4 linked regions of the Oreochromis niloticus genome follow. The protein of the gene in region 2 interacts with the protein of the main gene of each other region in a pairwise test. Links are inferred from orthologs where the notes say so. Each region holds a gene or a part of one and is shown on either strand. Other genes may lie near its edges. The genes, in order: mindy3, rad23aa, zbtb8a and sqstm1.

Region 1 (7,453 bases), on a different chromosome or scaffold from region 2:
CGGAGGGATCTCATTCTGAAGGAGAGAAAGAAAGAAGAAAAAAAATAAAAAAGGACAATACAACCACCTCTGCAGTGAGCGCTTTCACAGGCATCCACAAACATAGTTCTTCCTTTGTCTGATAATAACACAATCCAATTTCAAGGTACAAAACGTTTTGCAGCTATGTGGCTGTTAATCACAGCCAAAGTGTCAGCAGGCTGTGTTCACATCAACCTGCTCCCGAAGATAAGAGTCATAAGAGTGGTGTCACTGGGATTATTGTATCAAATCATCACACCAAACCCTCTTACATCACTTTTTTTATTATTTGAATCTGCAATTTATTTTGAGCTATTCAAAGCCCATCCAGCTTTGACATTATAGCCATTTTTCCTTTATCAAATTCCATGTTGTACTTTGCTTGTTTATACTTTAAAACCCTTCTTGGTGTTGAATTTATTATTTGCTTTCTCTCTGCGCAGTCTAACACAAATGTATACAGGTTTGTGAAGTCTGTGTTCCACCTTTCATCTTCTATCATTCCCTCTTTATCTCTTACTTTTTTTTTTATCTGTACAGCTGTCCTTATATTTGTGCACACCACATAGCATGCTCTGACAATCTTGTTAGTTAAAGGGGCTTTATAAATAAACTGGGATCTTACTGGTGCTGGTGGAAGTGAGACAAATACCAGCCCACAGCTACAGCCTACCTGAATGTCTTCCCCTGCGCTGGACGAAGCTGCTCTCTGTTTTAGCGCAGGTAGCCACATTCCGACACTCTTCAACAGGTAATCTTTGCCTTCCTGAACACAGAAAAAGAGCATATAAATATAAAAAGCTTTTTAAAAAAAAAATATACATTTCATTTCTTATGCAAATGTATATACAAGAGTAATTGGAGAATGCACTCTTCACACAAATCAGTTCCTACAGACTAATCCCACTGTATAATTTACTTCCACAGACTAGCTATTGGATTTTCTACAGAAACCAAGAATCCCTGGATTAATTTGGGAACAATTTATTTTTTCTTGTTTCTTAGAAAAAATTCCAAAAAAAGAGACTTTGTCACAGGATGTGGAAAGGTGTGGAGTGAGACTGGAACCAGCCTGACCCCTACAGCTTACAGGTAGTATTACAGATCCTTTGCTGCTCCGTTTGGTGATAGGAGTGCATGGAGAGTACGGAGAGACAGTACAGAGGTTTGAAAATACCCATTACATATAGCTTGCAAAAAACAGTGGTAGGTGAACTGAATGTTGTTTGTTGTATCATCAGTGCATGTTGAGGATGATTGAGGCAGACAGCACTGCCAACAAATACTTCCACATGGTAATTTAAGGCCATATATCAATTAGATTACATTTCAAGTAAACAATAAACATGCTTAAATACTTCAAAAAAAAAAAAAAAAAAAAAAAAAAAAGCTTTTGCCTTGAATGCCGTCTATTAATAGTGGTTTAAGATGCTCTTCATTTAGCAATGGCTCCCGCATGTACAAATATACATGTGATGTAAAAATACAGAAAGTTTATTTAGGATATTGTTCTAAACTCACTGTCAAATGTTACACTCAAAAGGTCTTGTGGATTTTTTTCTAAATTTAGTCCAATATGCTTTTCCCTCATCTTTTCTCTTTTTATCAGATGACTGCATGACCTTAATGATCCGCCCAGTAATTAACATTCCTATCGGCATGACCTGTCCATCTGCTGATTAATCGCATACGATTCAATTTGCTCAGAATAATTAACTCAGCAGATTCCCGCTTTAATGTGGTGATAACTCATCTCAAGTGTGTGTGCGTGCCTCTGAGTGTGTGTGTGTGTGTGTGTGAGAAAGAGAGGACTGACCTGGTTTCTCTCTGTACTGAACAGGTAACTGGCCATAAGCTGTAGAGCCTCTGGGTTGTCATGGTGATACTGTAATGCTTTCTCTATGAACTCTCTGCACTTGTCGGAAGCCCCCTCCTCCATGCTACATGCACACACACACACACAGAAAAAGAAAATCTCAAAATATTACCAAAGGCAGGCCTATCAGTGTCAAGTGCATAACTCTGTGTGCTCTAGTACCAGAGGTCTGTTAAGTAAATCTCAGCGATGGAGCAGTAGGCTACACTAACATCCTTCTCTGTGGGGAGTTCAGGGTCCTCATCTGGTGGGGCAGCAGCTCCAGCCAGAGCCTGCATGAATCAAAGGGCAGACTTCTTTAGTTTCTAAAGTTCAGATTATTCATTACAACTCAAAAGAGACTGAAAGAGACTTATATGAAACAGAATCTAAGACCGGTTTTCTTTTTGAAATGATCAGAATAAAAAGGGACACCATCTGAAAAAGCCTTTTCCTCTGAAATCATATTAACATGTCACAGCAGGAAGGAAGCAGTAACATCAGAGTTGCAAACTGCGTGAATTAAATTTATCCAATTTACTTTCAGAGTCATTGCTCTGTTCGTGTTGATTCATTGTCACAGTTATTGAGTACTGACACACTTATCTAGCTAGAAGTGACACTTCTAGCTATTATATTGAAGACGTCTGAATGAGAGTAATAAAGAGACCTCACCCTCACAATGATATTAATAAACGAGGTGTCACAAAGTTAAACAACAACAAGGATATTGAATAGGTGAATGTAAAATTGACAGAGTAATGCATTTGCAATTATTACAATGTATCCTAACATTTTTAACTTCATTCTTCTATTCTATTTTCCTTCCATTTGTTGTAATTTAACGTTAACATTGTAATGCATGGCACATTATTATGTCCTCTAAATGAGAAAACATTTTATCTTTGCTTACGCAAAAAACTTCACGAGCCATATTTTCTTTTTTAAATAAATAAATATATTTAAGGGGGAAAAAAGGCAGAAGTTTTAAAACTACCATCCTCTGACCACTTCAAGAACTGCCATTTTACTCTTTTACATTTTCGGTGTAAAATCTGTTTTGTTTCAAAGTTAAGTTCACAGTTCATAGTTTTTAGTGCACTGTAGTGTCGGTAAAGTGTTTTGTAAATATCTGTAATTAGTATTACAGGTCAGGAGTAACAGTTAAACCTATGAGGATGCTCATAGGTTTGACATAAATCTGTCATAACAATGCATGTCACTAAGATATGCATTGTCCAATAGCACCCTCTTGTGAAAATGAAAAAATTCAGGAGCCTTGAACACAAAGTCATGACATCTAGTTCAGTTTCCATAACCAGATAAACAGAGAGGGGTATTCCTATGTTCAATCACTTACTGTTGTTGTTCCTTGTTTCTCCAATGTATTCAGTAGGACTTGTATGCCTTTGGTATAGTAGTCCACAGCCTCCCGGCCTGTGTGGATTTGTCCCAGGTACATGTACTTACTGTGGCCAATATCTGGGCTAAGCTCCACAGCACGCAAGAATACGTGAGAGGGGAGTCAAGGAAGCCACAACAACCACTGCATTAGAGTAGAATGAAATTATCACAGCAGTGTAGTGAAAATACAAAATTATGGACACAAGCAGCGAGAAAGGATATTTCTTTTGCTTTCTGTGTGTCTCCTAATTCAGAGGAAATGTGCCCCAGCATGTCCAGAACTTGCAGGTTGGTGGGCTCCACATCCAGGGCTCTTTGACAGAAAAGGCTGGCCATTTCAAAATCAAAACTGTCCATGCATTCTTCAGTCTGTACACCACAACACATAAGGAAAGCTCAGTAGTTGATTAGAATTTAAAGAACAAAAGGATATTAAGACAATGGCATATTTGGGTCCTGCCTTTGTTGTGGATATGTAGTAAACGTTACCTTCTGTAGGAGTTGCTGTACTGAGTACTTCTCCGCTGTCTTCTTCTTGGCTTTTTCTTGCATTCTTACCTTCATCCTTTCTTGAGGTGATAAACCAACAAATCCTCCATCTGCAGAGATGTTACAAGTGCACGTATAACAATAGTTTTTATTAGAGCTACACTCAAAACATAACATAACAGTCCTTCCTTTCTATAAACATTGTGTGTACGAATTTGACGTTATACACAGTAAATAAAATGATAAACCAGTGAACTCACCCCTGTTTGGACGGTTATCTTTCCTCTTCGGTTTATTTTTCTTTTTACCCTTAGCTTGACCACCCATTCTGAAGAAAAACGCGTCGTATATTTCTAAAATCCCTGGGCTCAAACCCCACTTTTCCCAAAGTGAGACTCTAAACACGCGTGGACAGTAAGTTAAAGTTAGCTTAAAGTATACAGTGCACATGCGCCGGATGGTGACTCTATTGCTCCTACGGAGAGGGGTAGCGGCCAAAAAAAGCGAAAGTCCTGACTAAAGCTGGTAAAATGAAACGCTGAACGAGGATATTTTATATGCCTGTTGGTATGAGTCCGTTTATTAAAAAAATATTATTTAATTGAGAAGATTTCCGAGACTTTAATAATGATATTTTTCTTTCTCCAAGTTGCTAAGGAGAGCTTTAGTTCAGTTAGACGACTTTCCATTTATGGGCGGGGTTCTTTAATATGATTGACAAGTCTGTAGACTACTGAGGCAACGCGCTGACGCCGCAGCCCTTGACGCATCTGGAACTTTCTGGATTTCAACCAATGAGCAAGTACGTCAATTGTACGCCTTTCTCTTTTTTCACACAATTCCGTTGTAAATAAACGAATGACAGAGACGCGGTTGACGGTGAAATTGCTACCAGAAAATTTCATCAATACAGAATACCATTATCGGACTGTGTATTAAGGTAATTAAGGCCTTTAATATAAACCTATCGAAAACCTGGGAGTTCATGTAACGATTCTAGCCGTCGTTTGAATGTGCAAAGTAAATGAATGACAAAGCAATGAAAGATTAGCTGCTAGTAGTGATGCTAATGCTAACTGTTGACAATACCAAACTAACTCGGTTGTTAAGATCAAAATTTGGTGCATTATTTTCTCAAATGTCTTGCAAGGTAACAACGTCGCCACAAATAAGCAAATTGTTATCTAGTTATCAGTTTTTAATAAACGATTCTTAAATTAGCGTTAATGTAACTGGTAGATGTTTAGCTGGTTTATAACCCCGGGAAGTATAAATTAGTATTCATTTACCAAAGTAAAAAACTAGTTGGTCTTAAATCGGGCGACTGTCATCGTGGATATGAAAGTAATCTGCACTTCCTAATGGACATTTTCCCCCACAGACCGAAACATGAATATGTTTTTTTCTCATAAACTGCATGGTTTCTGTTCTATCACTTGGTAGGCTGCTGTGGTTACGTTGATGTCATTCCTACCCGCCAGTGTGCTGTCAGTACTTGTAGTCAGGCTGTCGTGCACAGGCAGCTTGTGGCCAATGCCACAGGTTTCGACCTGCCTGGAGAAGTAAACTGTCAGCAACAAGAGGAAAGCGCAAGTTGGTGTAAACAGGCCTATCTTTTCTCCACCTGGCTGTTGGACTGAAGAGGGACTGACTTCGGATCATCCAACACTGAAAGCTAACATGTCAGAGTTAAATAAAGATGTGGTGGATTTGGTTTGGGGGAGACCCTCCAGTGGAGTGTCTGTCTCTATTTTCCGTAGATGGGCCCAAGGTATGATACTTTTTCTCAGTATGTTGTCAGTATGTTGATAAGAGTTTAAACTAATTTCCCCCAAAAGGGGTATGAAGCAATAATCCACTGTATCCAGACTTTAAGACCAAAAGACAGCGAGCAGTGATTTTGTGTGAAATTCTAGCTGAAACAAAGTTAAAATGTAAAATACTGAAAATGAAAGTATAAATACTTACCTGCATGTTGCGGTTTACGCCCTGATTTTGGTCTGTGGCCCTCAGGTCTTCAGCTGGATATCCATTTGTTTGTTTGTTTTGGTTTTTTTAAGTTGTTATCGACACAAAATCTTTTTGCTGTTTATGACAGGATTTGTTTTTAGTGAAAGTGAGCTCACAGCACTGGAGCAGTTTGAAGGAGGACCCTGTGCTGTAATAGCACCTGTCCAGGTAAGATCGTATTCAGCCTTCTGACAATTTGTCCTGCTCATTTATGATAAAATATCTTTATGCAATTAGACTAAGGAGCTTGGAAAGAAAATAATTTATGCAATTATTTTGGTTAAAATTGAGATTATAATAAATGCAAACTGAACTAAATATGCCACAGCCTGACAACAAGGTTTTCTGCTTTAAAGGAGATGTGTTATGCTCATTTCCAGTTCCATGCTTGTGGTCTTGGTCTTAAAGTTTAAAATAATTGTATTTTATCTTACATTGGGCTGTAGTGTAGCTCTTCAGTTCATCCACATTCTATAAAACATTTTTTAGCTACTTTTACCCTCCCTTGAACACAATGTTCTGTTTTAGCTGCTCCTTATAAAAAAATGGTCTTATTTAACAGTGGGTAGGGCTACTCACAGCCAGACATGCATGGCTCACTTTAGAGTACCTGAACGTTTAGCTAAGAGGTATTATGTGCACATGTGCTGACCTCACATTTTGAAACATATTCCTTGTTTTATGTAAACATCCACCATTAAGGAAACGTATAATAGATCCCATCACGAGGGGAAAAAAAGTACACTGGATTTATAAAAGAAGACAAAGTGAGACAAACATTGTGAAAAATCTAATCTTGACCATCTTGTTTTGATCAAAAATTAGATTTGTATAACTGGCGACCCCATAAAAATGGTTACTTGTATAAAATGAAGTAAATATCAGTTTTTGTTAGTCTGTGATTGCTGATTGTGGACAAACAATGTCTAAGAGATAAAGCACATTGCACCATGCAATATTTCTTGCAAATTTGGTTACAGACTTTGTTTCTTTGCAGGCTTTCCTCCTAAAAAATGTCCTCTTTAACAGAGAAAGTTCCAACTGGAGACAAATGTCAGGTAATTTCTTAAATTAAAACAAAAAACAAACTCATTCATTGAATTGCCTGTGCTCTTAATTTTATGTAGTCGGCATGGTTTTTTTTTGTTTGTTTTTTTGTTTTTTTTTAAAAAAAGCACGTTTTATGTTTGTGTATGTTAGAGGAGGAGCAGAAAATGGCACTTTGTTCGACGCTAAGCGAAATCCTGGAGTCTGTCTGCTCCAGCACCTCCACGGGGTTCTGCCTGGTGACCTGGGCCAAAGGACAGAGCCCACACACTAGCACACAAACGATCACACAGGCACAGTCGCAAACACAGGAGATGCCAGAGCCAGCAAGCAGTCAGCCACCACAGGAACAGCAACCCAGTGAGTCCTACGTCTGTCACATTTCCATAAAAGATGCACGTTGAAAATGAAACTGCAGAAGTATTTTTACTGTTTAAATGAAGACTTGTCTTAATATTTAATTGTTAAATAGAAATTTTTAATGACTAATTACTTGATCCAGTATTTCGATGTGACATGCTCTAATGCTACGGTTTCTGTGTGTTTTATTGTGCCTAGCTGCTTTGGCTGCTGAGGAGCTTGGCTGTGAGCAATTTCACAGTGTTCTCCAGTAAGTGACAGTAAATA
Region 2 (7,638 bases):
CCCGCAATACAAACTAAAGTTTTCCATTGACCTGGAGCTTTATTAGTTCCTACTAACTAAATGAAGAATGACATCTGCATTCAAGTACCATGCTAAAACACTGTTTTCTTTTTTTGCCTTTTAATATTTTTTTATAATGTTTTTTTCATGTTATGATATCTTTGTAGTGTCTAATGGGATACAAAAAACTCCACAAGCTGACAGAACTCACTTGGCCCTCCTTAACAAGGTTGAAAAATGAATGGCTCGTGGTTAATAATCATTGCTGTCCCCAGATGTAAGAATGACTAACAGACCTGAGGCTCCTTTTAGGCTCATAAAGAATTAACATGTTAGAGATATAATCAGGGGCAACCCCAAGTGTGCTTTAAAAGTTATCATTAAAAAAATCTTAAGCAGTTCTAAATCATACAAATAACCAGTGTATGGATGCAGGGGTTTGCTTTTGTTAGCAGTCTTGCTGCAGTATTTCAGACCCATTAAAGTTAGGACTGCTGGTATAACTGCGAAGGTTCTCAGTCATCCAGGTTATGGGAGTCTATAGAGCTCGGAAAGAAAAGCGTCTGGACTTCCTTAAGTTGCTTGAAGACGTTTCACCTCTCATCCGAGAAGCTTCTTCAGTTCTAAGGTCAAATGGTGGAGAGTCCCAGATTTAAGTCCAAGGTTTCGGGTGAACCCACTGTGAAACCTAGCCCCTCCCTATCATCTGTCTTAAGGACGCCAATGTTCCCATTTTGGACAGAGAGGACAGATGGTTTGAAAGAGGAGTCAAAGAAGCCATTTATGTCCACTGTGAACTACCATCTTTGAACAGAGGCGGTGATTTACGACACCAACTGTCTGCCATCTATAATCCAGTTTTGAGATCCCTTCCCAGACGCCTTAACGCCCACTCACATCCTGGGCCATCTGACCTCAGGAAATCACATGATAGGGTGGGGCTAGGTTTCACAGCGGGTTCACCCAAAACCTTGGTTGATTGCGACCTACACCCGTTTTCACACCTTGGCTCGTGTGATTAGGTAGAGGATCAACAGGGGGTTCATGACCCCCTTGGGGGACACTCCCCTAGAACTTAAATCTGGGACTCTCCACCATTTGACCTTAGAACTGAAGAAGCTTCTCGGATGAGAGGTGAAACGTCTTCAAGCAACTTAAGGAAGTCCAGACGCTTTTCTTTCCAAGCTCTTTAGACTGTTGGTATATAAGACTTCTGACTGCAGCATGTTGTAATAATATAGCTGGTATAGCCTGTATAAGACAGGAATACATGCCACCCACTTGTGTTAACAGCTAGATCGGGGAGTCATCAATAAAAACTGTTACAGTGTTTCAAGAATAGAGCCCAACCGATATAGAATTTTTAAGACCAATAAATCTGATATGTTGGTCATGTGCAGTTACTTATGAGTCCTTACTAAGATAATATGACAATGGAATTAAAAAAATAAGCTTGTTTTATTGTCATAGCAAGTCGCGCACACTCATTTACAGTCTGTCCAACACTGCTTGGAACAGCCGATTGTTACACTCTGCGTTAGCATCTGAGAAGTTGCAGAGTGCCCTCTGGTGGACAAACTATGCTAAATCAGTGCGCATAACATGGTTGAACGGTGTTTCTACCGTCCCTTCTTTAGTTTTTTTTTTATTTCAGTCAGCAAATGGCTAATATCAGCCAATCGGTTGGGCTTCACTCTAGAAGATGGCTCCATGCTCTGGTTGTCTAATGTATTTATCACCTTATTGTGTTAATCAACCGTATCTTTGGCTCCCATTGCTTAATCACTTTAGTCACTCACTTTAAAGTCTGGACACCTAATTTGCATCACACTTGCACTGGCTTTCTATGGTCTCCACATATCGTTTTAAATGTGGCTGCCCCTCGATACTTTTAACCAAACAGTCATGGTGTCAGATTTGGCGAGTCATGGCGCCAAGATTTAGTGTTTTATTTACTTTGTAAATGCTTCTTCCATACATCCAAGAGATCATTTAACAGCCATTATTTGCAGTTTCTGGTTAACTCCACAATATTGTAGCACTCTGTTGTCAGGTGTGTGGCTTAAGTGAGGCTGATGTAATTGAGGTTTGACTGCAGCACTCCAGCAAACAGCCAAGCTTACAGTCATAATATATCTTCCTAGAAAAGACTGTCGTTTTGTTTGAACAAAATAAAGGCCTCCAGAAAAACACACACACATGCACACAAAAGCGGACACACAATCACAGACATTTAAGTGGGTCTGTGTTTAGAGCCATATGCCTGCAAATGCGGCTGGTCTCAATAAAACATGGTGGTTGGTTGTTAATCTTTAATAGTTCTGTCCTTGAGAATTAACCCAGATGAACACACATTTAGGGCACCATCCTCTCTCTCGCACACACACATGCATTCACCGTCTCTCATTCTTCTTCATCAATCTCTTACGCTCCAACCGTTCCCCCTTTGACACCCTTCTCCTTTCACTTCATCACTCTGTTCCTTCCTCTCTCCGCTCTCTTTCTAATCTTGTCTTCACTTCCCTCTGTTCTTCCGTGATCTCTCCCCTCGTAGCCCTCACCCTTTTTCACCTGATTTCACACAAAACAGGGTAAGCCACTTTGGTAGCGGTAGTATCAGGTGGGACAAAAATCACCAAATACAAGTATAATAAAGGTTGCAAGGGGGAAAAAAATCTTGAGAAGAATAGGAGGATGATAATGAGGAGGATAAGGAGCAGCGGGAAGAAGAGAACCGACAGGGAGACCCTCGCAAACCTGGCAGTGAACGATGGAAGGAGGGGGTAACTTGATAAAAAATTGATGTCACAAAGCTGGCTCAAGACTTGACTGATCGTTGGCTCAATGTATGTGCACATTGTTGTGTGCGTTTGTAACAAATCACACACGTAGGCTATTATATTAGATTACTGTAGCACCTACCACAGTTTACCTTCATCTAAAGGTTTGTAAAATGGGAACAAGCTATTCTCTCATTCCCCGTGTTTCTCAAAAGGCACAGTCGTGTAACTCTGAGTAAACTCGCCAACCTTTGCATCCACCCTCTGTAGTACAGGCTTAGCATGTGTTGATGACAGTGCCCAGTTCCCATTCTCATGAAGGCTTCAGTTAAACAACCAAAGCAGCATCACATACAAACACCATCTCTCACACGCACACGTTGGTTTTTATTACTCAAAAATTTCCCATGTTTTCTATTCCCCTCTTCATTTTAATCAGAATGTGTTTGGCAGTGGTCAAACTCTGCCCTCTGGTGACTGTAACACTAAACTACACTGATTACTGATAAAGTGCGAGCTTGCAGTGTGTGTTTGAATAAGATGCCAACAAACCATCCTCCAAACTGCTTTCACTGTGTGTGTGTGTGTGTGTGTGTGTATACCTCATAGGCAGTTTTTGTCAATGCGCAAGATAGAGTAGCTAAACTTTACAGTTGTGATGTTTTGCTCAGAATCAATACAGGGCTGAGTTTATAGGGGACTTTTATTGTAGCAAAACTATCTGTCCCCATATGCTGGGGACATTTCCAATCTGAAAGCGCTGCAAAGCCTGGGAAGTAGGTCCTGAGGAAGCTGCAGCACCCTCTGGTGGATGTTAAAGGATGTGAATTTTATTTTTCCTTTTTTGTAGTTACTGTACGTAATATTTCAGTTTCAGTAAGGAGTTAAAAAGTGGATCTTTCGTGTACTTGTTCGTGTACATGTTCAGATATGTGGTCGATTTCTAAACGCACCACAGGAAAATGGCCATGCAAAAGGCAAACTTAGGATATCTTCAGTAATCTATTAATAATGGGGTAATAGAAGCACCGACAGTACTTCTCTCATGTTCAAAAAACAAAACGAAAGAAAAAGAAAAAAGGAACACTTAGAAAATTTTTAGTTTCCATAATTGGTATATTTTAAATCCAGACTGCCAAGGTTTCCACTGACTGTTGTTATGTCATTTTCTTTCCATTGAACACACTTTCACCGTGTCCTTAGGCACAGCTTGCTAGTACCGGGTCGGTCCGCCTTTTTCCTTCAGAACTGCTTTAAGTCTTCACGGCACAGATTCAACAAGGTGCTTTGTGTTTATGGTTTGATACAGACGGATTACAGTAAGTGTTACTAAACGTTTAAAACGGCTTTTTTCTCTGTAGGTACAGAATTGAAATCATTACACAGCTTCATTTACAGACTGTGTCATACAAAAACAGCTGCTGCTTAAAAAGGTCTTTGGGTGCTCACTAGTGTAGCAGCTGCCGTGATCTAATCACAAGATTGATTTTTTATTATTATGATTATTTTAATTTATTTGCTACAAAACAGACATATAAAGATTTAAAAGTCACATAATGCTGACCATGTACTTCTATAAAGCCAGTTATCTAACTACCAGTTCGTTAATGTTATTGTTTTGGCAGAATTTGATATGTGCATCACATTTCAGATAATATAAACTCAATTTTACAATAGCATTAACTTTTCTGACTTTAGCCTGTTGTAACTCTAATTGGCCATATTTTCATAATATTTATCCCATGTGGATATGCTGTCAATATTACCATTCAAAATGACTGTGTAGCTATTAGATAGAAACCCCATAGCTTGCCATAGTCGCGGAGCAGAGCACGTGAACGCGAGATCTCGTACCCTCTAGCGGAGCTTTCCTCGCCGCACCACCAACTTGTCACCAAAGATGGCGATTTGCTGAGTGCTCATGGATACACACATTTCTCGGCTAGTTGTTATCTTACCCGAAACGCCAACTTTAAAAACAAATTAACTGTTTAGCGAACCACTGTTTCTTTGTTTGAAGCACCTCTGACCCAGCGTCAGTCGCCGCTACCATGCAGATCACACTTAAAACGCTGCAGCAGCAGACTATTCAGATTGAGATAGACCCCGAACAAACGGTGAGTGGCTATAGCTAACGTGCTTTAAGCTAACAGTGCTAGCTGCGGGACCTGTGTTTTGGCTTTGCGTGAAGACCCGACAGCTTCCAGTTCGTTTATATTACACATTAAAGAACGACTAACAACTAGATTCGACTGGAGGATTCGCAATAGTCGCACACGTTACAAAGTGGCAACCCACAAGAAACCGCAAAACAACGCGACGCCTCACTTCTGTGATGAGTTAGCGTTAGCAAGCTAGCTAGCAGAGTAGCCCATTATCAAAGTCATAGCGACACAGTTTTAAACGACTTTTTTCATCATTTAAATATCGTTTCGCGGTTGTGTCTACTGCTCTTTGTTAAAGAGTGATATGGGTTAGGATTTAAATCTAATATCTTTTGATGAACGCAAGCTGTGGACTACGCTCGTGATTGCTAATGCTAACGCCTATGACACTGCCAATTGCGATTAGCTTCACTCAGAAACTGACTCTGTCTATTAGCATGTCCTCACATCCGAAGGTGTAGCTTGCAGGGCCCATTGTTAAGTGATATATTATAATGAAATAGTACGAGCATACTCACAGTGGATATAATTCTAGTGACATTCCAAAATTTGGTTTTTTAGTAAACACGTAATAGACTAGGACTAGGTGTGAAAGAGACCACTGCATTTTATAGCATTAGTAGACCTAACTTTAAAGCTGAAGTCAGCTAGGATGACTCCCTGCTTTGTAATGACTTAAAGGAAAGCCGGTCATCTAATATTAAACCTCTGGTATTACAAGCACTGGAAGACATGTCATGGATAATAATGAGTTCTTGGGTGTTTTTTGTTTTTTGATTTGTTATTATTACTATTAGGTGAAGGCCTTGAAAGAGAAGATAGAAGCAGAAAGGGGAAAAGACAACTTTCCTGTATCCGGGCAGAAGCTGATATATGCTGGGAAAATTTTGCAAGATGACACACCAATTAAGGACTACAAAATTGATGAGAAGAACTTTGTTGTAGTGATGGTGTCCAAGGTGAGATCCTAATTAATACTTGTGGCTGACATTAGTGTATTTGGCTTCTTTTCATGTTAAACAGATTTAACAATATGTTGATAGTCTAATAGCACTTTTTTTTTCTTTTTTCTTTTTTTAAATAAACAAAAGGCTAAGCCTGCAGCTGCAGCCTCACCATCAGTCTCAGAAGCACCCAAACCCCCAGTACAGGACTCTGGCTCCACATCAACAGCTGCCCCGACTACAAACCCAACTCCAGCCCCAGCCCCAGCCCCTGCAGCTGTCCCCATTCCTAGCGGGGAGGCCAAAGAGGAGTCAAGTGCCGTAGCCACAGAACCACAACAACCAGCTAGGTACACTCTCTCTATTACTAATGCTGTTTTTCTGCACTGCCAGCTGAACTCTTGTAGACACTACTAAATGGAGATAATTGTATGATCTGGACAGCTCGGACATTAAACAGCCTTTAACCAGCCAGTGTCATATTATAGAGTCTGTCTGGTTTCTGAATGCACCTAATTTGTGCCAGTGCGAGAAGATTGTAGGCAAAGTCACAGCTAGCAATTGTACATCCTGTGTCCTGCCTCCTGCTCTTTTCAGGCCTGCATCAGAGCCAGCCCTGCACATTCTTAACTGTTTTATAGGAAAATGTGTCAAAAAGTGTAATGTTTCCAGTAGCTGGAAAAATGGCAAATATTGCCTGTGATAATTGGCCGTGCTGATCATTAAAGTTTACTCTGTGATAAAGGAGAAAACTGGATGATGTCACTACATCATATTTTCCAGAATATGTGTAAGTGAGAAATGTTTAGAGCTGTAAGAACTGTGCATCAATTAAGAGATTGGTGGGAAATTACAATCATAAATTAGTCATTTTTTTCCTTTTTTAATTCTCCAAGCTGATAAGCCATTGATTCCTGCTTCTGTTTATCACATTAAGTGGATGTCTGCCTGGTTGTAGATGTACAAGTCGACCATCTTTGGTTGTTAAAAACCAGTCGGCTCGATTAATGAATAATGAAAACAACTGTAGGTATTACATTTTAGTAATAAAACGTATTATAGGACTTGTTCAAGTCAATATCACAACCGATAACTTTTAAGATAAGAACAGGGATGGTTTTAACCTGAGCACATAACTCATAACTGCAGTGCTTCCCATGCACACAGACTCTTGGTTGGGCTGCCTCATCTGGTGACTTTAAAAAAAAAAAAAAAAAAATTCTATTTATCAATTTAAGAGAATCACCATCCAAGATGGAAATTCTCTTAGACTGATATTTATAGTGGAAATCAATCCTGTCTTTTTTTGGTCAAAGATCAGCTGCAGATAACTAGCCAGCCATCCCTTTTTCTGTCTCGTGTCATCCTCCTGACAGTCTCGCTGACCTTGTTGCTGTTGTGTTGTTTCTTGATGTCATTCGGCTGCTTAGAATCTAAATCTGTGGGATCTGCTCTTAGGCTTCATGGGTTATAGAGTTTGTCAATAAGTTAGCTAAATTACAAACCAAAATGTTTTGCTTTGTATTTGGCAGGCATACCTTGGAAAAAGAGATGTGCATGATTAAGTCTGTAATAAAATCATTTTAAACATTTCCAGTGTGTCTGAGCACGAATTGACCTGCTTGTATGTACTGGACTAATGTATAGTTAAATCTGCATACTGACGATCGCTTTGAATACACTATTCAACAGAGTTACAGCTGCCCAACTACGTGTGTACCATTGATTATTACTGTTTCCTACTATGTA
Region 3 (7,927 bases), on a different chromosome or scaffold from region 2:
ACACCTCCAGCTCGGCCTCCTGTTTTTCTGCCAGTGCCACGATATCAGAATCATATAGCATAGCAGATCTCACTGCCATCTTGTAAATCACATCTCTTGCACGCTGTCTGTTGCTTTGGATGCTGGACCCCGGGTTTTTTGTGTGTTTTTTAGTGGAAAACAGCACAGTGTGTCTCAGTAACAGTATGTCCAGATATTAACCCCTTTTTCTGACCCTGGGTGTTTAAACCATAATTCTGAGTACCACATTAAAAACTAGTACTGTTGAAAGGGGTTATGGCGGTCCAGTGATTAGCACTCTCGCCTCACAGTAAGAAGGTTCTGGGTTTGAATCCAGACGGGGGTCTCGCTGTCTGGAGTTCGCACGTTTTTCCTATTGCTTACGTGGATCCTTTCTGGCTTCCTCCAGCAGACCAAAGACAATTGTAAATAGGTAAATTTTGATGAATTAAATTAGCAGATGAAAATGGGTGGATGGACTGCTACTAATAAAGCATCTAATTGCCAGTTGTGTAAAAGTATTTATCAGTGTAACATTAATGGATGTCAGCATTTAAGGAGTAAAGAAGGACCTAAAACTAAACTAAACTGAGATGGGCTGTAAAGAAGTCCATCAGTTATATTTATCCCATATGGTTTTACAGAAGTTGGTTTCGCTTTCTTGAAACTGAAGAGAATTTAACGTTTGTGCTTTTATTTTGAAAGCAGGCGTACAGGAAGTCGTCTGTTAATCTTTCGCTTGACTCCGCCCCACGTTTTACAGGAAGTAAAGAAATGTCTACAGGAAAAACTAGAAGACTTCACTGAATGAACTGACGGATAAACCTTCAACACTCACCTCTTCTGCTTCTGCTTCCGACAACATTTATCAAGAGTCTCCACCGGAAACGCCTGTTCACCTCTTAAAGAGAACCTCGGTGAGTATTTTATAGAAAATTTAAATGAAAGTGAACTGTTGTGTGTCATTTTAGCACTTATTACTTAGGTTATGTCTTTATTCTTCAAGTAATATTATAAGATTTGGTTAATTAGCCTGAAGAAGCAGCTTTTACTTTTTTCTTTTAAAAAAAAAAGCCTCTAAAGTTGCTCTGATCCAATATTTCATCCATTTGAATTAACTGTAATGTGTGACGACCTGTAAAGAGATCAAGTATAAGCCTTGAGATATTCTGATTGCTTCCGTGGAATAAACAGGATGTCTTAAAGATGAGTAATAACTGGAACTGAGTAATAAAGTTTCATCATACAAAGTGCAAGGAAGTTGTGGCCTGTTGGAAAGAGAATATCACTCTCTCAAAAGATAAGATGGCTCTTAACAATAGCCAGTAGTCACTGACGTGTTATTCTTCGAGCAATATAATTGTTTCATGTGGTTGGACAGGTTAAGGCTTGAACCTGCTGACGTGGGACAATACAGGTGTGTCACTTAGCTTTAAAGTGGACTTAACAAAGCTTTCAGGTGTGTCAGGATAAAGGATATCCTCATCCTCCAGTCAGGATGACATAGTTTTGCTTCCACTACAGCATTCAGACTGAGAGAGGATTTTGATTGACTTGATGTGATTGTATCTTTTATCCATCAGACCCAAAGAATGGCAGAGAAGGTGCTGGTCACAGGTGGAGGAGGCTACATCGGGAGTCACTGTGTGGTGGAGCTCATTGAAGCAGGCTATCAGCCAGTCGTGGTGGATAACTTCAGTAACGCTGTGCGAGGTAAGCTCCGTTACGCACACCAGTGAAGAGCTTTTACTGAGAAAATTATTGAAAAAATTGTAGGGTCTACCTTACAATATAAAGCGGCTTGAGGCAACTGTTGTTGTGATTTGGTGCTATATAAATGAAATTGAATTGAATTGAAAAATAATCAGCGTGATACTTAGACCTGGTGTTTCTGTGTGTGTGTGTGTGTGTGTGTGTGTGTGTGTGTATATCCATTGTGTTTTGGATTGAGGAGAAGGGAATGTGCCAGAGAGCATACGCAGGATAGAAAAGCTCCTGAAAACCAGCATTGAGTTTCATGAACTGGACCTCCTCGACCGCCCCGGCTTGGAAAAGCTGTTCAAAAAGGTCAGAAAGTTGTTACAGTTGCTTTGTTTTTTCTAATTATTTATCTGCATCTGAAACTGTTTTACAGTGTAGACACTTTGATTTGTAAAGTCAGTATGTTTGGGTTTGTTTAGCTGAAAAAACAGCCCAATTTCTGCTTTACTGTTACACCCATAAAACAATCAGCAATAAGAAAAATGCACCACCATTTAACTTTTATAGCCTTTGCTTGTTTTCTTAAAAATGTCCCTGCTGGCCTGCATAAACTGTCATGAAAAGCAGTTCATTTGTAGTATTTGCGGCCTGTGTCACACGTGCTTCTCTGTTTGTGTGTTGCAGCATTCCTTCAGTGCTGTGATTCACTTCGCAGGGCTGAAAGCTGTGGGCGAGTCGGTGGAGAAGCCATTACTCTACTACAAAGTGAACCTCACCGCCTTCATGAACCTGCTTGAGGTCAGTCAGTAGCTCCTGGGTGATCTCAGATTAGCACTTTGAATCTTTGCTCTGCACTCATTATTAATCCCTGCTCTGACCTTCTTCTGTGTTTGCCGAGCGCACACCCGTGTGCTCATTTGAAAATGAGCTGATAAATTCTAAAACCGCGTCCTTCTGAGATGTTATGCATGTGGAGCTCACCGTAACAGCCAGAATCGGCCTTTTTTCCTCAGCCCTGAGCTGAATGCACGTGTGCTGTGGACTGCTGACTCTCCGGCCACTGATTGTGTGTATGTGCCATGTTTATGTGTATCTGCATGTGTCCCAGGTGATGCAGGCTCACAGAGTGCGCAATCTGGTCTTCAGCAGCTCCGCCACAGTATATGGAGACCCCCAGCGCCTACCCATAGATGAGCAGCACCCCGTGGGAGGCTGCACTAACCCCTACGGGAAGACCAAGTACTTCATCGAGGAGATGGTCAAGGACCACTGTAAAGCTGAGAAGGTAAACTCAGAAGAAACACATTCACAGATGTGCACACTTCCATCTCCTGAAGTGTCTCATTATTCCTTCTCTGTGGGCAGGACTGGAATGCTGTGCTGCTGCGCTATTTCAACCCAATCGGAGCTCATTGCTCCGGTCAGATAGGAGAGGACCCTCAGGGTATCCCTAACAACCTGCTGCCATATGTTGCCCAGGTATCTAAAGTCTCTGCCAGATGCCACGCTGTGCGCATCATAGTGATTGTTATTTCACTGTTTCATCTGTCTCCATGAATCGCATGACTCCGATTTGCTTGCATTGCTTAATTTAGGTAGCCGTTGGGAGACGAGAGTGTCTGAGCGTATATGGAAATGACTACGACACGATCGATGGCACAGGTAACGGAAATCACTGCAAATCATTGCACTTGCAGGCAGCTTTGAAATAGCACTTTAAATAGCAGCCAGATACTCAGAACCATGCAAACGAGGCTCCTTTCTGTTTGCAGGTGTGAGAGATTACATTCATGTTGTGGATCTGGCAAAGGGACACATCGCTGCTCTGAAGAAGCTGAAGGAGGACTGCGGGTGCAAGGTATAACAACTTGGAGCAAATTTCCATCACGACCATTGTCACATAGATGCTTTAGGTATTTATTAGTGTGTGTGTCTGTAGGTTTACAACCTTGGGACAGGAAAAGGCTACTCAGTGCTTGAGATGGTGAAAGCCATGGAGAAGGCTTCAGGAAAAGAGGTGAGTCATCGTGGTTACTGTGAGAGCTGAATCATGTTTATAGTCTGTTTTCTGGAAGTGACGCAAAGCACCACCAATCTGGCACTGTGGAAATACCTCTGATCACCTTATTTGTCCATGTAATTAACACAATGTGTTTTCTGTTTAGATCCCATATAAGATCGCCCCTCGCAGGGGAGGAGACGTAGCTTCCTGCTACGCCGACCCTCGCCTAGCTGAGAAGGAGCTGGGCTGGAAGGCTCAATTTGACCTGGAAAGAATGTGTAAGGACAGCCACGCTGGAAAATCTGATTCTTCTCCATGTTTGCTTTTCTACAGTCAAATAAAAGTGTTGTAGTATCTCCTGTATGATCTCTGTGTTTTTTCTTTGCACCTCTTTCCATGCAGGTGAGGACCTGTGGCGCTGGCAGTCCATGAACCCCACTGGATTTTCTAACGGCACTTGCTGACGCAACCCGAGTGGACTGTTGCTTAAAAATCCTCTTTTAAAATCACCAAAGGGAACCACCAGCTTCCTCATTCGCGCAATGACACATAAGACCTCAAGAGAAGCTGCATTGTTTTTATTTTTGTTAAACTCTAATGATTCAGCTGACTACAAGAAGAGTATCTAAATGTCTGTTTACTCTTTGCTGTTAGCTCAGACTTAACAACTGATATTTTCTCTATAAATGTATTGATCTGTGAGCCATAACAATGAAAGAATAAATTAATTTTCTTACTGAAAAGCTGAAACGTGCACTTTCTGCCTTGACTGTGTGGAGTGATTGTGACCCTGGTTGTTGTTAAATACATACAAATATTTTTTTTTCAGAAATGGGGGGGTAGATTAAAGACTCGGACCTGTGTGATAAGGTTAGAGGAGCATCATGAGTCCCTGCACAAATACTGTATGAATATCGCTCCTTTCGCAGTGAGGGCGTCTGTTTAAACGGGGCACTGGGACTTTAAATGGCTCCTTGAACCCTCGGGCACCCAGTTAATAAACACCCACGTCAGCACAGTGCTCCAGTCGGTCTAACCGGGTTTCGGTCTTTAGGGCTGAGCAGGAAGTGCCTGACTGTGGACCCTGGACGAGCAAAGAAAAGAGCGGAGGGGGGGAAAGGCAAACGGGAATTAAACATGGATATGGTGGCGGACTTGGGGGCGAGCAGACTGTACAGGGCGCCGGGTGAATCGAGCCACCAGTGAGTATCGATGGATTTTGTCAGGGGGAGTATGAAGGCGTGGGGCGTAAGCGGGTCCTGCCGACACCTCGCGCCTGCGAAGCAGTCGCTCGCTTTGGGCAGCAGTCAAATCCTCCCCGCTGCTCGCCGGACCTCCGGAGAGAAGTGGGGGTGGTCTTGAGGATGAAAACGGGCGTGTTAGCGCGTCGTTGCCCCAGACTGTTACACAATGCGAATAGATGTGTTTTTCCAGCTCGCAGCGCGCTCACTTGCCGGAGGTTTGTGTCTGTTTTTCTATTGTGTGCTGGCTGAAGCCTGAAGTGGGCGTCGCTCCAGGACAGACAGACTGAGCTGCCCGCTTTCCTCTCGCAGGACTGCAGCACTGTCGTGTCGCTTTGTAGGTCGAAGGATGTCTGATTTTACGCGGAAGAGCTCGGTGGGGACGTTAGACTTGATTTCGCGTGCCGTGAAAGGCACCATGGAGTCCTGCGGGCGGGCGTTGCACCGTGGGTTGTCGGGCGCTGCGGAGGTTGTCACACAGCCGCGCTGATGGCTCATTAAACACGGGTGCGTGCAATCCCGAGCCTGCATGAGCACGGATTGAACAGGTTACCGTGAAATAAGAACTGGTCTGAAAATCAGGGTGCTGGACCTATTTTTTTTCTTTTTCTTTTTTCTCTTTGCGTGTCCGGCTGCAGTGTTTTATTTTCTCTTCCTACAAGTCTGACGCGTTTACTCCGTCGGGGGTTTCTGGAGCGCGTGAGACCTCAGAAATGATTCAAGGTTTTGTCACCCGATGCTCTCTGACTGACTTGAGTCGGGTGTAACCCATTAGGAGAAGATTTTGCTTGAAGGATCCTTCAACAAATCAAAATGCAGAAAAAAGTCAGGTGGGCGGGCCTTCTGCTGAGCCGGTGTAAAGACAAAGATGCAAAAATTGACAGCTGCAAGCATGTGGTGATGCTGTTGTGTTTATTATGCTCAGATGAATGTGGCATGATTACCATTGTAGGCTGTTACCAGACCATTAAAATCCAGCGGCCTGTGTTTTCCATGTTAATTTGGCATTGGGAAGAAGTTCAGTAATGAATGTCCACCAGGTCTACAGGACTTGTGTCATTTCTTATTTTCTTGCTAAAGAAGTGAGTGTGTCTTGCATACAGAGCTAGTGAGCGAGCTGTCATGTTGTCTCCTGCAGGCAGCCTCAGAGGTGGTTCAACACGGCCGACATCACAGTGTCTCACCAAAGCAACCTGCTGAAGCAGCTCAACCAGCAGCGCCGCCAGGAGCTTTTCTGTGACTGCAGTGTGTTGGTGGAGGGCCAGCTCTTCAGGGCTCACCGCAATGTTTTGTTCGCCAGCAGCGGCTACTTCCGCATGCTGCTGTCCCAGGGGCCCGATGACACTGTCAACGCCACCTTTGACGTCTTCAGCCCCGAGACCTTCACGGTCATCCTGGATTTCATCTACTCTGGCCAGCTGGACCTCTCCAGTCACAATGTGATTGAAGTCATGTCTGCAGCCAGCTATCTGCAGATGAACAACGTCATCAGCTACTGCAAGAACTTCATCAAGTCCTCGTTGGACATCAGTGTGAAAGATGAAGACAGCGATCGCTGCCTCAGCTTGTCTGAGACCTGTAGCTTTACCAGCGGAGCAGGAGAAGACTCCACAGAGCAGCATCAGGGCCCCTGCTCTGTCAGCCCTCCACCTGCGCTCTGGACTCGGGACAACTCCAGATCACAGTCTAGCTTTATGGGAAAGGACTCGGACCAGGATCCTTCGGCCTCGGCCCTGAAGACTGATCCAAACAGCCCTGTTAATGAGCTCAGTGCAGATGCAGAAGACCTCCAGGACCCTCAGGACCCTTTGTACACCTTGCCTGGATCAGACCGTCGGCGTGGAAAAGGGAGTACAAAGAGGCGAGCGACCAACAGCGCACGGTCCAACCAGCACGAAGACTTGGACATCCAGGAGGCGCGGACACGAAAGGCTGAAAAGGCAGAGGAGCTTTACGCCACTCTGCCACCAATTGTGGGTGTTATTGGACACTTTAATAAAGGTGTGTGCCACCAGAAGATGATGATGACGGGAACACTTGGACAGAGATGATAGGGAAAAGTCAAATGTCACATTTTCTCTGTTCCTCTTTGCAGATTCGAATCCTACCATGCGCTTCAAATGCCCCTTTTGCACACACACAGTGAAGAGGAAAGCAGACCTGAAGCGTCACCTGCGCTGTCACACCGGTGAGAGGCCGTATCCATGCCAGGCCTGCAATAAGCGCTTTACTCGCCTGGAGCATCTACGCAGCCATTTTGAGACGGTAGGTGTTTTCACAGCAGATGGTAAATTTACACTTTCTTCGGTGTCCGTGTCGGCTTACAGCTCCAGGAAAACAAGCTGCTAAACAAATTTACTCTAATATTTAATAAATCGTTATCCAATCTTTTCTTTTTCTTGTTAATCTCCCAGATTCATCAAGCCAGGAAGCTGGTGTGCAGGAAGTGTAAGTGTCAAGTGACCGAGGAGACCGGGCATGTGGTGTGTGAGGGCACGAGACGCTACCGCATGTGCACAGCGTGCATCCAGGAAGTGGGCTGTGACGACATCCCCATGAACAGCCTGGAGGGCCACAACGAGGAGCCGGCGCTGTTACTGGGTGTGGACGGGGAGGAGGAGGGGGACACAAAGAGGAGCTGGATGGTGACTGACGACGATGACCTGGCAGAAGACTCGGGGGCCGACCTCATCATCCAGCAAGTGGACGTCAGCGACGAAGAGCTGCAGTGAAACTGGACCAAAGTGTGCGTGTGTTTTTGTGTGTTTGTGTGTTTGTGTGTGTGCAGATGCATACCCAAATTTGAAGTGTTTGTGTTTTAAAGTGGCCCTGGTATGCTCATTTTCAATTTAGGGGTTTACTACAATAAATTTACATTCATTAGTATTCAAAAATCATTTTTCTCATATTGTACTGTGCATAGTGTTGCTGCTGCACCTCTTTTCACCATCTGCCTGAAACGATCTGTTCTAGGAAAGTGAGG
Region 4 (7,654 bases), on a different chromosome or scaffold from region 2:
AACACCTGTAGCCCCACCCTCTCCACCACCAGGTGGGCTCATTTCCTCAGCCCTGACTCAAAGGTGCAGGAGGGGGAGAAGCCTACAGTTCATGAGTGTAGTCAGTCTTTAAGCGGTGTCGCTGCTCCCTCCTGCGCTGGAATAATCAGCAGGCCCCGCCCTCTTCTTCCTGTTACCTCCATGTTTGACAGCGGCGAGGACTTTAACTTTGACGACGACTTCCTTGTTAAACGTCGCCCAGAGTGACCGTGCATTTGTTTGTTTCTAAAGAGGAGACTCTGACAGACTGTGCTTTTCTTCATGCTTTTATTGCTCACACAGAAACGTTTATAGGATGATCAATAAAGAGAACAGAAACATTGATTAATGGACAGTATTGATTGTCATTCAGACAACAGAGTAGAAATAATCAGATGCAGGTTCTGACATCGTGATGATATCATCAGTGCTAGTGTGGGCGGGGCTGCTTGGCATACTGGATGGCGTCCAGCGCAGCGCCGATGTCAAAGTTCTTGGCCTGAAGGAGGCGGGTGAGCCAGCCGCCTTCGTCCGTGAAGCCCATTGAGAGCATCGAGGCGAGCGACTCAACCAGGCGGGGATCGGCCTCTGAGGACAAAAGGTCAGAGGTCAGCAGGGTTTAGAGGTCAGTACTAACAGAACTAAAGTCACCGAGTGTGGACGCCAGCTTACCTTGAGGCAGGTGTGGGTACAGTGCCGCCTCCCTCAGCCCGCTGGGGCCCGCCTGCCCCTCAGACAGGGGCCCCTGCTCCTGGTTGTCAGGCTGCAGGGACTGCAGTTCACCTGTGGAGGGGTCGACCTCTTTAGAGCTCAGGTGGGTCCACTCCTCATCAGAGTCCTTGCTCACCTGAGGGTCACTACGCTACAAGGTCACAGGAGATGTTAAAAGGGAGTTCTTCCTCCCTGCTGTCCCGTCAGGATCAGCTGATTGTTCTTTCTTCTGATATTTACATCATGAAGCACTTTGAGGTTTTATAAAAATAAAAGTTACCTTTGCTCCCAGACTGGCCCCGCCCTCACTGCTCGTATGCTCCATCTCCTCATCGCCCTCACCCCCCCCACTCTGAGTAGGTGGGGTCACCTTGGTCCGTTGGCCCTCGTGCTCCACGTCGATGTCCACATCGATACCTGTGTAAAACACACGCACCACTTCCTGTTTTAGAGCCAGCTAGAGATGTTCACTCATCTCACATGCACAAACACAGTGACGTCTTAGTCTTTACCTTACAGCATCAAACAACTGTTTAAATAAGGCTGACACTCACCTAGTGGGCTCAACATGGCTGCCACACCCTCGCCAATGTTCTTCAGGAAGTCCACATTGGTCTGAGAGCCTGCAGGGAGAAATGAAAGATGTTTTAAAATCACACAGATGTCACACATAACATTATTTTAGTGCTGTGACAGGATGTTTAAAGGGCCACACAAACGCGGCTCTGATGTCATGACCATTCAGTCCGCACACAGCCTTTTTATTTTGAAATGTTGCTGCATTTTCCCTCTTGTACATCGTTTCCTGACCTTATCTGCTCTGATCTGACTTATTGATCAAGTATCACTTTAACCAAGATGGCAGAACTCACCAGAGGGGGTGTTGGCATCAGCAGCAGGTTTAGAAGGGCTAGACTCGTTCTGGTCCTGGTCGTTGTCCTGGTTCTGAGCCTGGTTCTGGTTCAGGTTCCACATGCAGTGTCTCATCCTCTTCATCCACTTCCCCCGAGGAAACCACTGAAAAACACAGCCTCACAGTCATGTTTTGAAGGGCCTGAACAGGACACCTGCAGACCTGCACAGGTAGACTCACCTGCAGTGGATGCCAAATGGGCAGTAGAGCGTGCTCAGTGTGCTTCCCCTTAGCCTGGCAGGAGGAGCAGAGGTCGTAGTTCGGACACACTGAACACTTGAAGCGGGTCCCGATCACAGGGCCATCGCAGCCATCACAGGTAACGTTGGGGTGCATGGCGTAGGGTGGGGCCACATGAGGAGGAGGCGGACCCATGTGTGGCCCATGGGGCGGGGCATGAGGACCTCCAGCATGGGGAGGTGGAGGACCTCCAGCATGGGGAGGTGGAGGACCTCCAGCAGGGGGAGGGGGAGGCCCAAAGGCAAAGGGAGGGAAGGCATGGAGAGGGAAGTCCCGTCTGTGCTCCTTCTTCTCTGTAAGAATGAAGCTTTATTAGCACAGCTGGAGGACAGATACAGCGAGCAATAACATTTATACAAACCGCAAACATACCTCGGATGAAGAGGCGGAAGGTGGAGTCCTTCATGCACCCCAGACCCATCATCAGCTCATCATCAGAGGAGAAGGCCACCAGGTCCCCATCTTCATCTGCATCATCATCATCATCATCATCATCATTAGTCACACGCTGGTGAACTACAAAGGCTGCAGGTGACTTTCTAATTCCAGACTAACTTTGAGGGTGTTTGTCCGTTTACATGACTATAAATAAAGATTAATTCAACAGCGGATTATGGTTTCATGCGTTTACAGGGAAACCGGTGAGTCTGGTCAGGTGAGTGTGCGCCTGCGCACTAACTCAGTTACGTCCCCACTCTTACAGTCGCAACTTAAGTCAATAACAATCCAGGAAGCGATCAGAGTGTAATTCCCTCATCTGAACCCCCGCGCGCTCACCTCGGTAAAACAGGTTGAAGTTGTTCAGGTTTCCAAACACGTCCGCAGTTTTCCTGCTCAGGTACTCGAAGCTGCAGGATACGTCCTGATCAACCGCGAACCTGCGGATCTCCTTCACCGCCTCGTCCTTCCCCAGCAGGTAGGCCTTCACAGTCACCGACATCCTGCCACTGACACCGGGTACACCTGTGTCTCTGTCCGCTGATCGTCAACCGGAGGCTGGGTGTATGTCTGCGTGTTGTTCGCTGATAGTCAACCGGAGGCCGGGTTTATCTCTGTCTATGTCCGCTGAGAGGTGTCCAGGTCCAGGAGTTGGTGAGTTTGTGACGCACTTTGAAATCTCTCGCTCTGCTTTATGTTTACTTCCGCGACAGACGTGGGAAACGACGTATGTGACGTCAGGGAAGTAAACACAGATTCGGCCTTCTATTGGCTTTTTCTCAGAGTCCCGCCCACAGGACCAATGGCAGCCGAGGAATGACTCGACGGCTTTCCAATGAGGTACTTTCCCTGAGTCATGTGACCTGTTTAAAGTTCATAATAAAATATCGCAAAGTCATCGTTACAAGACGGTTTCAATACCTGATCACAGAGCAGGCTTTCGACATGAAACTGATCATCAATAATCAGGCGGACTGATCAGAGCTCACAGCTGACGGGGTTTGGATTAATAAATCAATCATTCTGGCTCTGCTGCTTACTCTCCAATCAAAACCAAAGATATGCTCATGGTCACGTGACTGAAGCGTTTTAAACCTGATCCTGAGATCTGGACAATAAAACCTTTCAACTGATAACTTAACCTTTATCTCTAAAAACACCCAGTAAACATTTTAAATAAAGTTTTAAACTTCAGAACGAGTGTCCAAGTTCTTAGGTCTGACTGATTTATTGATCTTTGACGCGTTTGTATTCATGTCTATTAAACTTATCTGTTTTTCTGGCAGCCTCGGCCAATCAGCAGCAACTCTTCAGGCAGCTGACTCTGAGTCACTGCAGACAGGAGACGGTGACGCAGAGTCACAAGACTAAGATCCACTACCCATGATTCATCAGTGCAAGCACCCTCCCCAACACACACACACACACACAGTCAGACTAAAACAGTGCTGTGCGTGTGTGAGTACTTCCTGTACTCTGATTACAGAAAGTACATTGTGCAGTATTTTTCCTCCACATTACTGCCGTAACTTTGTAGATCCATCAGCTGATCAATGAGTGAAACAAATCAAAATTTATTTCAGCTTTAACAAACAAATCAATACACATGAATCATTAATCCATAATGTTTACCAGCTATGACTGAACACTTTAATGTCCAAACAGAGGCGCACACACAAAAAAGAAAAAAATACAATTCAGCAGCAAATAATATCAACATCATGGCCTGTGGTCCAATGGCAGCAGGACTCAGCTGTGGTCTCAGAGTGATGTCAGATGTACAGGGGGTGGTACTGGCGGTGAGTAAGTCTCTTCCTGCAGGTGGGACAGGTGTGTGATGATGTCAGAGAGTCTCTCAAACACTGACTGCAGAACACGTGACCACAACGGGTGGACACGACCAATCGGCCGCTCCCAACGATCTGCGAAAAAAAAAAGAAAAAGAAAAAAAAAAAGAAAAAAAGAAGCGAACAAAGAAATTAAAAAAAAAAACAACAAAAAACAAAAAAACAAAACCCACAACAGCCAATCAGAGCAATGCACTCAAACATCACTGTAATACTTTCAAAGTAAAACACAAAACCACACTGAAAGTTTCAAAATAAGAGTCAGGATATGTATGTTTATTGATTAGGTTCACTGATCAGTGGCCATGTGAATGTAGTAAAGCCTGTATTTCATTACCCACAATGCCTCAGGAAGCACACATCTCATCAAGCATTGTGCTGGACTATTTTTTAGACACACTCGAGTCACCAACACCAATTTGTTCTGAGCACGCTCACACTGAAGGAAGCGTCCCCTGCATTAAATCAGCAGCGAGCTGAGGGCTGTAAAGTCGATCTTGAAGGTTACTCAGAGCTCACACTAGCTGTGTCCCAATTCCTAGGCCGCATCCTTCGGAGGACCCGGGCTTCGTGGTCTATGTGAGCTGGGTCCTCCGAAGACCGAGAAGGCCGGAAGTGAGAGGCTGTGAAAGGGGACGGTCTAGCCTTCAGATTTGTGTCACCAGCCATCTCGATGGGCATGAATAAACTCAGCCATCTGCTCCTTGCTATCTAAAATATAACAGGACACTGGAGTAAATTCTCGATCATCTCGACCATCTTCTGTATGGACAGCAAAGGAAGAATTTCATTGCACAGAGAAAAGCTATTTCTTCTACACACATGACAATAAACACTTTGAATCTTGAATCTCGCACTTTGTTTAATCAGTTTTCTGTTTGACGTTTATTCAGCTGTGTGAAAACCCCCGAGGAACCCTCCCGATGGATTAATAAAGTTTTATTATCTAATCTAATAACTTTTATCTCAGCCAAACCGATTTACTCCGGAACAAATAAAACAGTGAAAAAAGCCAAACAAAATAACATTTAAGTTATCTGAATGACTTGTATATCATGTTTAACCTGAGTAGCCAAAGACGGCGGCGGGTCTGATAACGATGTGCCGGGTGTCTGCTGTTCTCTAGTGAGCCTCGACCTCCCGGCTAGCTATCGAGCCGGTGGGTAACAGACATCTCCAAAAACGTCGCGCTTTTGCAATTATGCGATTTCTTGATAAACCAAGCAGATATTTGAAGTTTACACAGCTACTTTCTCGCCTGGAAATATGTTAAAAGTTTATTTTGTGACCCAGAAAGATTAATAAGAGTAATATTAAACTAAACTGGAATTGACTGGGCCGTGCTATGAATTCTGGGATACGGTGGGCCACGAAGGACACACCCGACCCATCCTTCAAAATCTCGGAAAATGAAGGACGCATTTGGAGGAGTCTTCAATTTGGGACAGCCTACCTCACGTCGTTCAAATGCCGCCTCAGGAGGATACAGCCTAGGTTTTGGGACACAGCTAGTGAATGCTGCTCGGTTTGCAGTCCTGAATATGATGGCACAAGCAGGATTCACTGCACTGTTAATGTTAGCTATGTTATATTGCTGCCTCTGTTCGGTGGCGTCGAGCCAAACGGACTTTAACGTGTGTTTGAACGAGCTGACGGTTCACTCGTTAAGCTGAAAGAAAGATGCTTTAATCACAGGAGTCACACATGTGTCCACTGGACCATCTGGGAACTCTTCTTGTTTAGTACTCGTAATAACACAAACACTAAATCCTCCTTCTCTTGTGCTGTTTTGTAGCAGTGTATACACCTGAGACTGTCACCTGTCTGTCTGTCCTGCACTCTCTCTCTGTTTCTTTCTCTCTGATTGTGGAATAAAAGTATGAACATGTATTTATAAGTTACACTTGTGTTTGAATCCTGCAGCTTATCGCACATTTGATTTCCATGTGTGACAACTGCAAGTGTCCAGAGTGAGGACAGACTGAGGGACCCACTGCTGCACATCATCTGTGAGGCTTTGCACCCCTGATGATCCACCAGGACAAACTCAGCAGTGTGTGAGGAAGAGGAGGAGGAAGAGCCAGCAGCAGCTGACAGATTGAGAGAATAGACAGACTGTTCCCTGTTTGTGAAGGACTGCTAGGAAAGTTTAAAAGAACTAATTGTCTGTCCTGAATCAGTCTTATTAGGTAATGTTCAAATCATTTGATTATTCCAGTGTTTTCAGTGTGGGAGAAAGTACTCAGGGCCTTCAAGTTACACACTATGAAAGGCAGCAACAAGTTTAATATTCAGAAACCTAAAGTATGTATCAGCAGCAGAATGGAGCTAAAAATAAATGTTTGTTTCAGTTCTATGAAGCTTTGAGTATTTTGGATTAGTAGCACTGCTGTGTTTGTTGCATCCTATTGCTGTAATTGTTTATATGCTTTATATATTCTGAGGTAAGTTGATCTATAGTGTTACATCATTTTCTATAAGGATGTTATGTGTTTGTATACTTTCTGAGCACGCTCACCCTGAAGGAAGCGTCCTCGGAGCTCACACTGAGCATGTGCAGCAGGATAAAGAAAGAACCTCGCTGCTGGCACTCTGTGTCAGTAAAGTTCATTTTTCTGCTTTATTCATGCTGAACAGTCTGAACACACACACATAGGGCTGTGCGATATGACCAAAATCTCATATCCCGATATTAAGACATCTATCGTCGATATAACGATATAAATTACAAAAATGTAACATTTCCTGTAAATTCTGTGAATCTCGGGCATCTCGACTTGCGTGAAGTGTTTCCAGCTGGGCGTCGTGTACCTGGAGTCGAGTGTGTTAACTGATGCATGGAACTATACATTTTTAGACGTAAGTTGTAACAGCCGCCGTTTTCTTTGTGAGTATTTATTACACAGCGTGCTGCGAAGAAAAGTCTGTTCTAACGTTTGAGTCTAAGGTTTATTTTTTAGCACCTGGCGGCTCTTTTTTGCTTCTCATCCGTTAATACTCTGCATCTTTCACGTGACTCGTTTTATTTTGAAAAGCCTCAACAGGATCTTGAGCTTTATTGTGAAAGGTTTATGTGGAAAATAAACAAGCGGACACAAGGTGGTTTTACCGTTGTTGTTGCTAACGAAAACGCATAAAAAACAAGCGCTTGTCCGTCTGTAGTGTGGTTATATTAAATATAAGAGAATAAGAGAAAGAGAGAACTTTAAGAAATTAATATAGCCACTACAGTGACCATCAAAATGATGAAAAAATATTGCCGTAAACAGTTTATTTTGCGACACCACGAAACAAACGATAGCGTAAAATGAAGCGATAGACGTTTTTCTATCGTCATCCGATATATATCGTTATATCGAACAGCCCTACACACACACACACACACACACACACACACACACACACACACACACACACAGGTGTGACTGACCTCTGAGTATCCGTCCAGACACACAGGACAGCTGATTGTCCCTGGAGTTGACCTGAA

What was found.
Region 1: the proteins of rad23aa (region 2) and mindy3 interact in binary tests that used the Homo sapiens proteins (3 or more experiments, as listed by UniProt). The two-hybrid records come from large-scale screens. The link is inferred for Oreochromis niloticus from reciprocal best matches to the Homo sapiens genes RAD23A and MINDY3.
Region 3: the proteins of rad23aa (region 2) and zbtb8a interact in binary tests that used the Homo sapiens proteins (3 or more experiments, as listed by UniProt). The two-hybrid records come from large-scale screens. The link is inferred for Oreochromis niloticus from reciprocal best matches to the Homo sapiens genes RAD23A and ZBTB8A.
Region 4: the proteins of rad23aa (region 2) and sqstm1 interact in binary tests that used the Homo sapiens proteins (3 or more experiments, as listed by UniProt). The two-hybrid records come from large-scale screens. The link is inferred for Oreochromis niloticus from reciprocal best matches to the Homo sapiens genes RAD23A and SQSTM1.

Annotation. Positions count from the first base shown.
Region 1 is NC_031976.2:19,162,214-19,169,666, reverse strand, and holds the start of mindy3 (ubiquitin carboxyl-terminal hydrolase MINDY-3), read left to right. Parts: upstream 1-4,450; 5' UTR 4,451-4,571; intron 4,572-4,574; exon of another isoform or gene 4,575-4,709; intron 4,710-5,212; 5' UTR 5,213-5,449; coding exon 5,450-5,540; intron 5,541-5,867; coding exon 5,868-5,947; intron 5,948-6,776; coding exon 6,777-6,837; intron 6,838-6,979; coding exon 6,980-7,186; intron 7,187-7,384; coding exon 7,385-7,436; intron 7,437-7,453. Other genes in the region: si:dkey-12j5.1 (probable assembly chaperone of rpl4), read right to left, coding at 1-15, 695-787, 1,838-1,961, 2,060-2,169, 3,237-3,389, 3,503-3,649, 3,770-3,879, 4,030-4,219. UniProt on the Homo sapiens protein: Hydrolase that can remove 'Lys-48'-linked conjugated ubiquitin from proteins.
Region 2 is NC_031969.2:7,064,880-7,072,517, forward strand, and holds the start of rad23aa (RAD23 homolog A, nucleotide excision repair protein a), read left to right. Parts: upstream 1-4,621; 5' UTR 4,622-4,831; coding exon 4,832-4,897; intron 4,898-5,742; coding exon 5,743-5,904; intron 5,905-6,036; coding exon 6,037-6,239; intron 6,240-7,638. UniProt on the Homo sapiens protein: Multiubiquitin chain receptor involved in modulation of proteasomal degradation. Binds to 'Lys-48'-linked polyubiquitin chains in a length-dependent manner and with a lower affinity to 'Lys-63'-linked polyubiquitin chains.
Region 3 is NC_031983.2:27,606,053-27,613,979, reverse strand, and holds the start of zbtb8a (zinc finger and BTB domain-containing protein 8A), read left to right. Parts: upstream 1-4,915; 5' UTR 4,916-5,067; coding exon 5,068-5,162; intron 5,163-5,168; exon of another isoform or gene 5,169-5,757; coding exon of another isoform or gene 5,758-5,774; intron 5,775-6,082; coding exon 6,083-6,945; intron 6,946-7,039; coding exon 7,040-7,209; intron 7,210-7,358; coding exon 7,359-7,676; 3' UTR 7,677-7,927. Other genes in the region: gale (UDP-glucose 4-epimerase), read left to right, coding at 1,593-1,713, 1,952-2,067, 2,386-2,499, 2,810-2,986, 3,067-3,180, 3,297-3,363, 3,474-3,559, 3,641-3,718 and 2 more. UniProt on the Homo sapiens protein: May be involved in transcriptional regulation.
Region 4 is NC_031966.2:36,315,667-36,323,320, forward strand, and holds sqstm1 (sequestosome-1), read right to left. Parts: upstream 3,002-7,654; 5' UTR 2,823-3,001; coding exon 2,660-2,822; intron 2,351-2,659; coding exon 2,255-2,350; intron 2,176-2,254; coding exon 1,823-2,175; intron 1,747-1,822; coding exon 1,602-1,746; intron 1,353-1,601; coding exon 1,284-1,352; intron 1,147-1,283; coding exon 1,010-1,146; intron 881-1,009; coding exon 691-880; intron 607-690; coding exon 449-606; 3' UTR 290-448; downstream 1-289. Other genes in the region: uncharacterized protein mrnip, read left to right, coding at 1-246; E3 ubiquitin-protein ligase RNF4, read right to left, coding at 4,093-4,242, 7,598-7,649. UniProt on the Homo sapiens protein: Molecular adapter required for selective macroautophagy (aggrephagy) by acting as a bridge between polyubiquitinated proteins and autophagosomes.